3 linked regions of the Ovis aries genome follow. The protein of the gene in region 1 purifies or fractionates together with the protein of each later gene. This does not show direct contact. Links are inferred from orthologs where the notes say so. Each region holds a gene or a part of one and is shown in the gene's direction. Other genes may lie near its edges.

Evidence for each region. The genes of interacting proteins can lie anywhere in the genome.
Region 2: the proteins of SMARCB1 (region 1) and H2AZ1 purify together in Homo sapiens (affinity purification with mass spectrometry; 3 studies listed by BioGRID and IntAct, with this or other methods). This does not show direct contact. The link is inferred for Ovis aries from reciprocal best matches to the Homo sapiens genes SMARCB1 and H2AZ1.
Region 3: the proteins of SMARCB1 (region 1) and KPNA2 purify together in Homo sapiens (affinity purification with mass spectrometry; 3 studies listed by BioGRID and IntAct, with this or other methods). This does not show direct contact. The link is inferred for Ovis aries from reciprocal best matches to the Homo sapiens genes SMARCB1 and KPNA2.

The regions. Positions count from the first base shown.
Region 1 is NC_056070.1:71,287,405-71,291,577, forward strand, and holds the start of SMARCB1 (SWI/SNF-related matrix-associated actin-dependent regulator of chromatin subfamily B member 1), read left to right. Parts: upstream 1-1,364; 5' UTR 1,365-1,552; coding exon 1,553-1,645; intron 1,646-4,173.
Region 2 is NC_056059.1:25,067,495-25,071,631, forward strand, and holds H2AZ1 (histone H2A.Z), read left to right. Parts: upstream 1-1,447; 5' UTR 1,448-1,551; coding exon 1,552-1,554; intron 1,555-1,997; coding exon 1,998-2,075; intron 2,076-2,356; coding exon 2,357-2,470; intron 2,471-2,821; coding exon 2,822-2,951; intron 2,952-3,199; coding exon 3,200-3,261; 3' UTR 3,262-3,632; downstream 3,633-4,137. UniProt on the Homo sapiens protein: Variant histone H2A which replaces conventional H2A in a subset of nucleosomes. Nucleosomes wrap and compact DNA into chromatin, limiting DNA accessibility to the cellular machineries which require DNA as a template.
Region 3 is NC_056064.1:48,653,710-48,657,703, reverse strand, and holds the start of KPNA2 (importin subunit alpha-1), read left to right. Parts: upstream 1-1,189; 5' UTR 1,190-1,291; intron 1,292-2,897; 5' UTR 2,898-2,920; coding exon 2,921-2,995; intron 2,996-3,144; coding exon 3,145-3,282; intron 3,283-3,994.

The DNA.
Region 1 (4,173 bases):
CTTGAAGGCCTACAGTGGCTTCAGTCTGCTCCCCATTTCCCCAGCGGCCTCTCAGACCATCGTCCACCAAGCGCTGCTCACATTTTCCGATCCTGCCACTGTCAGGACACAGAACCGAACTCAAGGTTACCGTGGCCGACTCCTCACTCTCTGGGGTCTACTTGCCTGCCACCCTCAGAGAGCCCAGGATCCGCCTGCAATGCAGGAGTGAGTGAAGCCACTCAGTCGTGTCCGACTCTTTGCGACTCCACAGACTGTAGCCTACCAGGCTCCTCTGTCCATGGGGTTTTTCAGGCAAGAGTACTAGAGAAGGTTGCCATTTCCTTCTCCAGGGGATCTTCCCAACCCAGGTCTCCTGCAGAGCAGGCAGACTCTTTACTGTCTGAGCCACCAGGCAATGCAGGAGACCTAGGTTCAGTCTCTGGGTGGGGAAGACCCCCTGGAGAAGGGAATGACAATCCGCTCTAGTATTCTTGCTTGGGGAATCCCATGGCTACAGCCCATAGGGTGCAAAAAGACATGACGGAGCAAGTCACACACACACAAACACACACACACACACACCCTACACACACACACGCCCCTACACACACACACGCCCCTATACACACACACACACGCACCCTACACACACAGACGCTACACACACACACACCCCCCTACGTGGATGCTCATAGCGGCGCCTCTCATAGCTGCCAGGTATCAGGTGCTGACATGGGCAGCCATCAGCAGTGGGCCGTTTCTGACCTACTGCCGTGCTCCACCGGATACACGGGTGCCTCCCTGTGTGTCGGCCCGCTGGGCTGCCAGCGCCCCAGGGCAGGGGGAGGCACAGGGCACAGAGTTAAGGAGAGGACGGGGACGTTCGCTCCTCCCCAGCTCTCAGCGGGCAAAACAGACGCCGGCTGGGCCTAGGAATCCTGCAAGCCCGGTAGTCTCAGCCCATGCCCGCCCCATCCCCAGAGCCACAGGAACGGGGGCCGGGGGGCTGGCCCGGAGCTGGGATACTGGTCCCTGGGCCGCCCATGTGCTCAGCCGCACAGCGTCCTCTGGGCGGGGAAACTGAGGCAAGGGAGCCTCTGGCTTCCTCCCGGCCTTCCGGGCCTCGCCTCGTGCCTCCTCACCAGGGCAGCACGCCAGCCCCGGCTGTGAGACGGGGAAGGGCGCCGCTCGAGTCAGGGCGGCGGCTGCTATTTCTGCCCGTGAGCGGCCTTCCCTGGTACCTCCACTTGGGAGGCGGCCGGGAAGGCCGAGAAACGGGCCGAGGCTCCTTTAAGCGGCCCGCGGGGGCGCGCTCGGCCCTTTTGTCAGGGCGGCGACGGCGGCGGCGACGCGCGCGTCAGCGTCAACGCCCGCGCCTGCGCACTGAGGGCGGCCTGCTCGTCTTCTGCGGCGGCGGCGGCAGAGAAGCCCAGCGGCGGCGCGAGCGCCCCCGGCCCGGCCCGCCCTTCACCTCCCGCGTCGGCTTCCCCGGGCTAGGAGCGCCCCCGGCCCCGCCTCGGCCCTCCCGATCCTCGCAGCCCGGCCGTGGCCGCCCGCGTCTGCCGCCGCAATGATGATGATGGCGCTGAGCAAGACCTTCGGGCAGAAGCCCGTCAAGTTCCAGCTGGAAGACGACGGCGAGTTCTACATGATCGGCTCTGAGGTAGCCGATCCTTGCCCTCCGGGCCTCCCGGTCGGCCCGGTTCCCGCGGGAGCCTCGGGGCGGGTCTGCGCGCCGGGAACGCGCGTCTCCATTCATCGCGGAGGGCCTGCGTGCGCGTGCGCGGCCTGGCGCATCGGGGCGTGGCCTGTTGGGGCGTGGCTGAGCAGCCCCGCCCCCGCCGTCTGGGCACGCCCACCCGTGTCCCGCAGGGACGCGGTGGGCGGATCGGGTCGAGAGCGTGGTCTATCGGGGCGTGGTCGAGCAGGCCCCGCCCCGCGCTCCGCAGTCTGGGAACGCTCACGCGTGTCCCTGGCCGCGGGGGTCGCGGTGGCCCCGGGTCCGCGCTGAGTTCCACAACTCCAGCCGGACGTACAGAAACGGGGTGTTGGGTTATCCCTTGCTGCACACGGGGCGAGGAGTTGGACCCCTCGCACGCTCCCTCCTCTCCCTCGTTGCCCCAGCTGGAATCCTGAAACCGCTGATTCGAAACACCGAGCTTAGTCGGGGGCTCACCCGCTTGGTGCTCTTTGACTTGGAGTTGGGCGGGTGGGCGTTCTGATCTTCCATTATCAGTGAGAAGACAGGTTGGGAGAACGATGCTTGATTTTGGATGGCTAGGGCCCAGCCAGCCCTGAGCTAGATCCATCAGCAAATGGGAGGCACCTGGCACTTCGGCTATCTTGGACTAACTCTGAGTTAGTGCGAGGGAACGAGCGCGGAACCCCTTCATCCTTACCTAAACAGTGACCTTGCAGCACTGTGAGCCGGCTGGGTTAGCAGTGTGCACCAAGTATACGAAGTTCTTCCAGTGTCCCTCAGCCTTTGGCAGTCTCCGGCGTGTGCGTGTGTGTCCACACACACATTTTAAAATTACGGATCCGCAGTTCAGGTGTGCAAGCGCCGAGCAGCAGTGCCTCCCTTTTGTAGAGAGGCGAGTGCGGGTCTTGGGGAGTTACAGCAGTCACAAACGCCGCCGACGCTTGCTTCTCCTGGCAGCAGTTTTCAGTTTTACGCATTTCACTCTTTTGTTCTTTTTTACCATTTTTTTTCCCTCTTCATGATGGAATACGCTGTGAATGAATTAAGCCTCATGATGGTCACACTCAGTGAGGCTTTCGGGAGTCCCTGTGACTCCCTGTGGCTTGTCTGACTTGTATTGAGTTAGGAGACCCATGTTGTCAGTAGCATCAGAACTTTCTGTGTTTCCTTTCCTCACCGGTTTTTATGAAACACGGGGCCGGATGCAACGTACTTTCACATTATCACAGAAACGCTCCTCTTGACAGCTGGCCGTACTGGAGAGAGGCGCCACTGCCTGCCACGTGCCGCAGCTCAGAAGGGTCTTCGCCAGCCTGTGGGCACGGATGCGGCATGTGGTGACTGGCAGGTTAACTAAAGAAACCTTCACCGGATCTAACGGGCAGGAAGGAAAAGCGCTTGGTTTAGCACTGGCTCTGAGTCGGTGGTACTTTTGAAAATCAAGCTTGTGTTTACTGGGTGGAGCCCGGTGTCAGGTGGGCAGAGCGTGAGGAGCTCTGGCTCCAGCCTGGTGTCCATGGCACTTGTCTCGGGCATCTGATGAGATGCTTAGGCTAGACAGCTTCTGCAACTTGCCCTGCAGCACATCTCAGACTGAGAAAGACAACTGCAGTCTTGGTGAGTGAGAAGATTTGTCCTGAGATGCAGTTTATGGAGACCAGACGGCAGGAGGGAGAGGCAGTTGCCGTCCGGGGCCTGACTTTACAATGTTCAGACCTCAGGAGGCCTGGGCAGGGTTCAGGGCTAGACTGGCATCTACTCACAGCCAGCAGCTCTTCTGACAGCAGGGGTGCTTGGCCCCCGGGCGGTTTCCCTGGGCAAACAGCAGGCGCTGGTTTCCAAGAGGCACGCCAGGCAGAGCAGTGCCTACAGCGCCCCACACCACTCGGGGTAGCAGCCTTGGGAGGGTGTCTGCAGCTGCCCCAGTCCTGCCCCCCCCAGGGGCAGCTGTCATCACCACACAGAGGCACAGCCGAGGGGAGCCCAGGGGGCCTCCATACCAACACCTTCGTTTTCCATTTGGGAAACCCAGGTCCAGAGGGGGCAAAAGCTTGTGCAGGGAAAACCCAGGGGGCAGACTGAGTCCCCTGAGTTCTGAAGGGACCTCGGGAAGGGCCTAGGAGGCTGGGAAGCCTGCAGGACCTGCACGGTGGTACTGGGGGCATTAGGGTCAGTGTCTTGTCAAAAACCTCCTAGAAACTCTATGTTTACCCCCAGATGGTAACCACGCTCAAGCCAGGTAACTCGAAAGGGCCTGCCCCTGCAGCAAGGAGCAGGAGGGACGTTGTGGCCGCTCTCTCACGCTGTTCAGCAGCCGTGGTTGTGTAAATCTCTAAACTCATGAAAAATGGAGAAACTAAAAAAGAAAAATACTATAGTGGGGTAGGTACATGGGAAAATAGCACAAGTGGGTCCTTCGAGGGTGAACTTTACAGCTGATGAACATCTGTCAAGAGGAGTAGGGAGGCTGAGAAGAGGGCAGTGTTGCC
Region 2 (4,137 bases), on another chromosome or scaffold:
GAAGAAAATAACAAAACTCTCTGTCAAATTGTTGGGAACTCCTTCACTGGAACTTACTTATCTACCAGCTATGGAAGGGTCCTCTAATTGGATAAAATCTTTCAAACTGAAACTCAAACTACAGTACTTGAGAATACATATATTAAAACTTTTGGACATCAGAAATATATTTAATATGTAATACACTATTAAATGCTATAAATATAAAAGACAGATCATTACTGTCTTCAAGCAGCTGGACATGTACACAGGTGTTATTAATCTATTAGTTGGACGACTATGTAGCTGGCATTATGATAGTGCTGTGTGTACAGTACTATTTTTTAAGCCCATCATTTGCAACTGATTACATGGACCATCTGTAACTGTCCTTGAATCACGTTAGAAGTTACCCCACTGACATTTACAGAACATTTGTCATGTAGCAAACTGTTTAGCATAGAAAAGTTGATACAGAATAGCTTTGAGGTTTCATTAAATCAACTTTAGACACCAGGCTATAGGTACAACCCATTGATGTGTAATCTCCAGAAAGACACGGGTTATGATTTGATTGAAGAATATCGTCTCACTCCAAGCCCTCTAGGGGTAGACTGAAGTGTCTTTTCTGACCAGCAAGGGGGCTTTCATCACCGTTTTTCCCGTGAAAGTATCCCACTGGGGTGGAGGGGGTGGTTAAGGCATTCAAAAATGGTGAGGAAAGACGAGGGAGTTAGAACTGAAAATGACGTGGGAGCAGTGGATCATGATCAGTCGGTGGCTCGAGACTCGCCCAGGGGGGTTAGAAGACTGAAATCACTATCAAGACTGTGGTCAGGGAAGGAATTGGGGCTCCTCTCACCGGACGCGTTCGCGCCACCTGTCAGACTGAAAAAGCTGGGCGATGCTGAGGGTACCAGGGAAAAGAGTACCCCGGGCCTCGGGAGAAGGCTGTGGACTGCTGGGTCTCTGCCTTCGAGGCGCTCATTTGGAAGGGGAGGGCAGGAAGTGGGGCGCGCTAGACCCCGCGGAGACTTCACGTGGTCTCTGGAATCAGGCTAGGAGACGAAGGCGAACGGGTGATGGTAGGGTGCGCGATACTGCGTGCCCCTCCCCTGAGCCTCTCAACTCCGCCTCTCGGACACGTGACCACAGCCGGGGCGGGGTTGGGGGGGGCTCGCCTAGCTCCCGCAGCATAGCTCGCTCTGTTTCTTCCCTCCCGCCGCTGTGCCCTTCTTCTCCCCAGTTCCAATCCCTCCGCCCTCCCCCCCTCCTTCCGCATGCTCCAATAGGGATTCGAGCTGTGAAGCGCCCGCCCCTCCGCCCTTTTCTTCGCTTTCTCATTGGCTGAAGCTTCAAGGACGCGTCCCGAGGGCGGGGGGCAGCCATTGGTGGGATGAGCAATCCGAGTTCCCGGATGAGGGAACATTCTGCAGTATAAAGGGAGCGGGGAAGGCGGGAGACAGCGCAGTTTGAATCGCGGTGCGACGAAGGAGTAGGCGGCTGGTTCTCGCTGGGTGTCTGACTAGTCCTTTCTCTGCTTTGCTTGTTTGAGCTTCAGCAGAATTCGAAATGGTAAACTTGGTGGAGACGCTCGAAGACTCCGCGGGTTTTTGCCGGCGGGAGAAAAACCCGTTACACACGGAGATGGGGGTGAAGCGGCGACGGTTGGGAACGCGCGGAGACAGGATTTGGAAGAGCAAGGGGAGGTGTTTTGTCGGCGGCGAGCGGAGCAGCCTCGGATCTCGCGGCGGGCGGTGACGGTTGGGTGGCGCGCGCAGCGCCGCTGGGGGCCGGCGGGCGGCGAGCAGGCGGACCGAGGCGCGCGGCCGCGCCGAGCGCGCGGCGGGGGACGGGCGGGCGGGGTCGCCCTTGCGGCGCGCCGCGGGCCGGAGACCCCGGCTGGGCACGGGGCCGCGCTCGCGCCCGAGCCGCGGCGCGGTGGGGGAAGGGCGCGCTGCTCTGGTAATCCTATATTCTGCGTTCCTCCTTCGCTCGCGGGCGTGTGCGCGCCGCAGGCTGGCGGTAAGGCTGGGAAGGACTCCGGAAAGGCCAAGACAAAGGCGGTTTCCCGCTCGCAGAGAGCCGGTTTGCAGGTCAGTGGTTGTTCGTGCATTCTGGGAATCGTGGCGTTTTTCTTTCCTTTTCCTCTCTTGTTTATCATCGCTCTAGATGAGCGTTTCGTCTTTGCGTGGGTGATAGTGTCGCGACTTGGTTTACCGATGCAATAAATATCGGGGGGGGGCGATCACGTGTGTCTGTGGTGGGGCGCGTTGCTGCACCGGCGTCCATGACCCTGCCTTTGGCGCGCGTATAATTAATTATCTTTGGCTCGTCTATCTTTGTGCATTTATGTTTGTGTATGCTAAAAACGAAGTTCCCAGTGGGCCGTATTCATCGACACCTCAAATCTAGGACGACTAGCCATGGACGTGTGGGCGCGACTGCCGCTGTGTACAGCGCAGCCATCCTGGAGTACCTCACCGCAGAGGTAAATGGGTGTACGCCTATAATCTGGAAAAGGTTGGGAGGGGGTGGGGGGAGGCGGCGAGAGGGAAGGAGGAAAGTGATGCAAGAAAACTCCCAGGCTCTGTACGCAGCGAGAAGCTTCCGACAACGCTAGAGGGGGCTGGTGATCATGATGGGGATCCTCCTGAGCTTGACTTTGCGGCCTTAGGAAATAAAATTGCGTGCCCTCTTTATGGCTTTTGCTTATCTTGCCATTCAGGTAGTGGGGGAGATGACAGTTGGTAGATATACCTTCATCATGAAGGTTTGATTCTTGTCTGGATCTTGACGTTAATGAAAGTTGGAAGGAGATTGATCGCATTTTGCCTTCTAGGTACTTGAATTGGCAGGAAATGCATCGAAAGACTTGAAGGTAAAGCGTATTACCCCTCGTCATTTGCAACTTGCTATTCGTGGAGATGAAGAATTGGACTCTCTCATCAAGGCTACAATTGCTGGTGGTGGTATGTAAATATTAACTTATAAATTTCTCTAGAGAAAAGAATTTGCTTTTAAATTTCCCTCTAGTAATTTTCAGTCTAAAAGAGGACACAGTATATTTTCATTGATCTGTAGTATGGTTGCATCATGAAATTTGATTTCTCTTACGTACTTCTGAATTTTTACTCTGCGCTTACATTGAAAGACATCTTCCAAGTTGAACATTAAACTCTTGGTTTTAAAGTAGTATGTTATTTTATCCCTTTTCTAGGTGTCATTCCACACATCCACAAATCTCTGATTGGAAAGAAAGGACAACAGAAGACTGTCTAAAGGATGCCTGGATTCCTTATTATCTCAGGACTCTAAATACTCTAACAGCTGTCCAGTGTTGGTGATTCCAGTGGACTGTATCTCTGTGAAAAACACAATTTTGCCTTTTTGTAATTCTATTTGAGAAAGTTGGAAGTTTAATTAGCTTTCCAACCAACCAAATTTCTGCATTTGAGTCTTAACCATATTTAAGTGTTACTGTGGCTTCAAAGAAGCTATTGATTCTGAAGTAGTGGGTTTTGATTGAGTTGACTGTTTTTAAAAAACTGTTTGGATTTTAATTGTGATGCAGAAGTTATAGTAACAAACATTTGGTTTTGTACAGACATTATTTCCACTCTGGTGGATAAGCTCAATAAAGGTCATATCCCAAACTAGTTGTGTATAAAATTTGCTTGATTATAGTAGGAACAGCTTTGTTTTGAATAGGTATCTTAGCTAGCAATAACTTAAGCACATTTCTTCCCTTGAAATTACTGTTAATTCTGTCTGTAGATCAACAAAGTTAAAAGGCCCAAGTTTTTTTTTTTTAAATACATTGTAATGAACTATTAAAAGATTTTAAAACTTCAGCACAAGTTGATGTTTTTTAGGCTAAGTTTAACCATCTGAGTTCATCAGCTTTGTTTGCTGTTTGTGATAGCAGCAAGCACTACACCAGCGCACTGTGGGGACTTGGGTGGGGTTGGGGAGCAGAGGCCAGGTAGGAAGGTCCTATATGCAGCTGCCTACACAGTCTAAACTTTTCAGTTTAGACTGATAATGTTTGCAGTGTGCTACACGCTCTTTTGAAGTTTACTTGCATTAAATTGTTCAGTATATGGTAACATCTTTGGGGAACATACTATTCACATTTAACAGAGAATCAAGATTTTT
Region 3 (3,994 bases), on another chromosome or scaffold:
GAAGGAACCTCCATGACTCTCATTACTGTTACACAATGAGTGAGGCTGGCAAAAATGCCTGCAGGAGGGACAAAGTTCATTGTTTGAATCATAGTAAAAAAAGAAAAAGCCAATACAGCTTTTCTTAAAAATACCCTTCTCAGGATACAGAAAAGCTGCGAAAAGAAAGTGGACCATAATCCTGAGGTTCTGATGACTATCACTGAAGCTTTTTTTAAATTACAAGAAAATGCAAACATTTTATTTGAAATATATAAAATATAGCATAGATCATTACTATAACAATTGATGATCTGAACACAGAATAAATAATCGCATATAAGTTCAATTGTCTTGAATTTGATGATTATGGTGTGGTAATATAACAGAATGTCCTTATTCTTACAACATACAAGCTGAAATATTTAGGGGTAAACGGACAAGATTTCTCAAACTTACTCTCAAATGGTTCAAAAAGTAATATGTAAAAGCCATGTATATATAAATAGAGGTACACGTGCATGTGTGTATACATATATATATACATACACATCAAAATAGTAAATTAACATTTAACAAATATGGATAAAGATTTGCAGTTCTTTTGTATTTCAAATTATTAAAAATAAGACTGGAGAAGCAGGCATTAATAAAGCTTTTGTTAACATAGTTCTGCCTTCTATGCAGTCTTTTATGACACAAGTTAAAAACAGTAACTAACAAATGCAGCACATATCTGCCTTATCCCTCCCCTGCTTGATGTCCAGAGACCCCGGCAAAGTTCTTTCTGAGTCCCATCGGGAAAAATGCATAGCAATATATTTCTTTATTAAGATTTTTAAAGAGAATTATTTTGGGAATCATTTGTGGTACTTAGTTAAGGCAAACACTCAGGAAAACGACCAGCCACCACACCGCGGTAAACCCATGCAAAGAGCTGACCCTCCGACCAAGATGGACAGGGAACCGGCCCTGCGCGCTGCATGCCGGGATCTGGAGTTTTTCTTCTCCGCACTGCAAGGCTCTCAGGGATCGCGCGGCCGCTCCCTTATCTCGCGATGCTATCCTATCTACTTCTGGGCCCTCTGACCCCTCCCCAGCTAACGTGTTTTTCAAATCCACCAATGGGCGTATAGCGTAAGCTCGAACCAGCCAATCGGAATGCGGAGCCACCGGGAAATTTAAATCGCGCCGGCCGGCTGCACGAGCCACACCGTCCTCGGGCTGACCGTGGTAGACGTTTGGAGGCAGTAGATCCCGCAGCTTGTGCGCCGCGCACAGCCTCCGGTGGACGCTTGAGCTTGCTGTGTAGGTAACGAACTGAGGTCGCAGTGCAGGTGGAGCGACAAAGGCTGGTCCTTAGGCCGCTCTTGGATTGCTGGAGGCGGGAGGGGAGTCCCGGGGTAGACGCCCGGCCAGGCTTCGGCCTCTCTGGTCGATGAGGCCTTGGGGGCGTAGTTCGTTGACGAAACGGGTGTTTCACTGTGGATGCGAGTGCATGGGCTTTAGTGCCCGAGGCCTTGCGAACCGCTGCAATCGCCTTTGAGTAAGAATTATTAGAGTCAGGCCCGAGAACGAAAGCCTCGGTAGGGGGCCCGACGCCTCTGGCTCCTCCTCCGCGGGTTCCCGCTGCTGCTTCCCCGAAATGGGGGTGGGGAAGGGGGTAGGGGAGGGGACTGCAGATGGAGGTGGCAGTTGGAAGTGCTATCTCTTAATTTGTAGGCCCTGGGTTGGCTGTGTCACGATTTCGTAAAAGAACAGAATGGAATTAAAGATAGCCACTTTGAAGGAGGACTTTTGTGATTTTTTTGGGAGATTGCTCTTAAGTAGGTGAGTTTGAGTGGAACGCAGCTGATAGAGCCTAATTTAGTGCATTCACTCAGAATTTCTGGAAATGAAAACGTGCGAGATGCTGAACTGCGTCGCAGGTGTTCAGGGTGGGCAGGAAATTTTATGAAAGTTTACATAATGTTAACGACGAATCAGATTTTTAAATATTTTCAAACGTGCAGAATGTATCTGTTTGGGCCGTTTAAAGCCAGTAGAGCCTCGGAGAAGGCAATGGCACCCCACTTCAGTACTCCTGCCTGGAAAATACCATGGACGGAGTAGCCTGGTGGGCTGCAGTCCATGGGGTCGCTGAGAGTCGGACATGACTGGGCGACTTCACTTTCACTTTCATGCATTGGAGAAGGAAATGGCAACCCACTCCAGTGTTCTTGCCTGGAGAATCGCAGGGACGGGGGAGCCTGGTGGGCTGCCGTCTATGGGGTCGCACAGAATCGGACACGACTGAAGCGACCTAGCAGCAGCAGCAGAGCCTCCAGATCTGAATTTGTGGCCCGTACGACATAGATTTTAACTGTAACCTTATATCCCGTACGTTGTCTTCAGTTAACTATTCATGGATCCTATATAGAGTCTAGAGCCATGCTGTGCAGTGTGATAGTCACCAAAGGCGTGTGGCTAGTCTAAACTGAGTTAATGCTGTAAGCTTAAAGTACCTGCAAGATCTCGAAGAATTAGTATGAAAAAAGAATGCAAAATAGTTCAGTAATTTTTTTGATGTAATGTGTTGAAGTGAGAAAATAGATATTGGAGTAAATAAAATATATTATTGAAGTTAATTTCATTTGTTCCTTTTTGCTTTTAACAATCGTGGCTACTAGGAAGCTTAAATTTATACAGCTTGCATTATATTTCTGATGGACAGCACTGCTCCTGGAAGCCTCAGCCCTTCAGAGGGGAGGGGCCAAATATAATTTGGCCAAAACTCATGTTCCATAGTGCTGAAAAAGGAAGTTCCTCCTCTAGTATGGAAATACGGATTGAACGTGTATTTGATAATTCCCTTAATGCTATGTTATTGCCAAACAAAGTGATAAAAAGGAAATTTTTTTCTCTCCCCTATCTTGCAGCTTTCTCCCTTTGTCTCATAATCATGTCCACCAATGAGAATGCTAATTCACCAGCTCCCCGCCTTCACAGATTCAAGAACAAGGGGAAAGACAGTACAGTGAGTACCTTCTGTTGTTTTTCTAGTATTTTTTAAATGGTAAGGTATTTGGAAAGAGCGTCCACACTTTGAGTGAATTTAAAAAGTTGTCTTCACTTGGCACCTAACACTGATGTAATAGGTGAGATGATACGTTATCTTTTCTCAAGGAAATGAGGCGGCGCCGAATAGAAGTGAATGTGGAGCTAAGGAAAGCTAAGAAGGATGACCAGATGCTGAAAAGGAGAAATGTCAGCTCTTTTCCTGATGATGCTACTTCTCCACTGCAGGAAAACCGCAACAACCAGGTGAGGATATTTTAGTTTATGAGTTATGGTAAACCCAGAAAATCAATATGAGGCCTTTCTGAGATATTTAAATAACATGTCTTAGCTTTGTGGGTTTTAACTATCAAATGTGAAGATCTGTCTTTGTGTGCTCCTGTTCAGTAATTCTGATGGATTATCTTCCCCCCGCCCATCCTCTGTAATCTGTGGAAGCTGATTCCAAGGTTGTCTTTAGCTCTGATCTCCCCTTCAAGTTTCCCTGCTTTTCCAGTTGCCAGCTTTTACTTTGAGTTGGCCATTCAAGTGTTCAGTGAAAGTATGTCCAGAACCAACTTTTTTTTTTTCCTGCCTTTTTTTTTCTTTCTCTCCCTTTCCCTTCCTCCCTCCCTCTCTTTTTTTTGTAGTTGTCACCAGCTTTTTTCAGGTCTTTTTCCTCAGCTGTCTCTTGATTTTCTTTCTGTGCCACTTACTGTTTACCTAAAAGTTTTCTTAAAATACTGCTTAAAACATCTTAGAAATTTTATGATTCTAAATCCTTTTTAAAAGGTTTTTTGGAAATTAGACCCATCCTAGAGTTCTACTCATGGAGACTTCGTGATTTTATCAGAAGTCAGGGAAAGTTGCTCAGTTGTGTCCAACTCTTTGCGACCGCATGGACGATACAGTCCATGGAAGCCAGAATACTCTAGTGGGTAGTCATGCTCTTCTCCGGGGATCTTCCCAACCCAGGGAT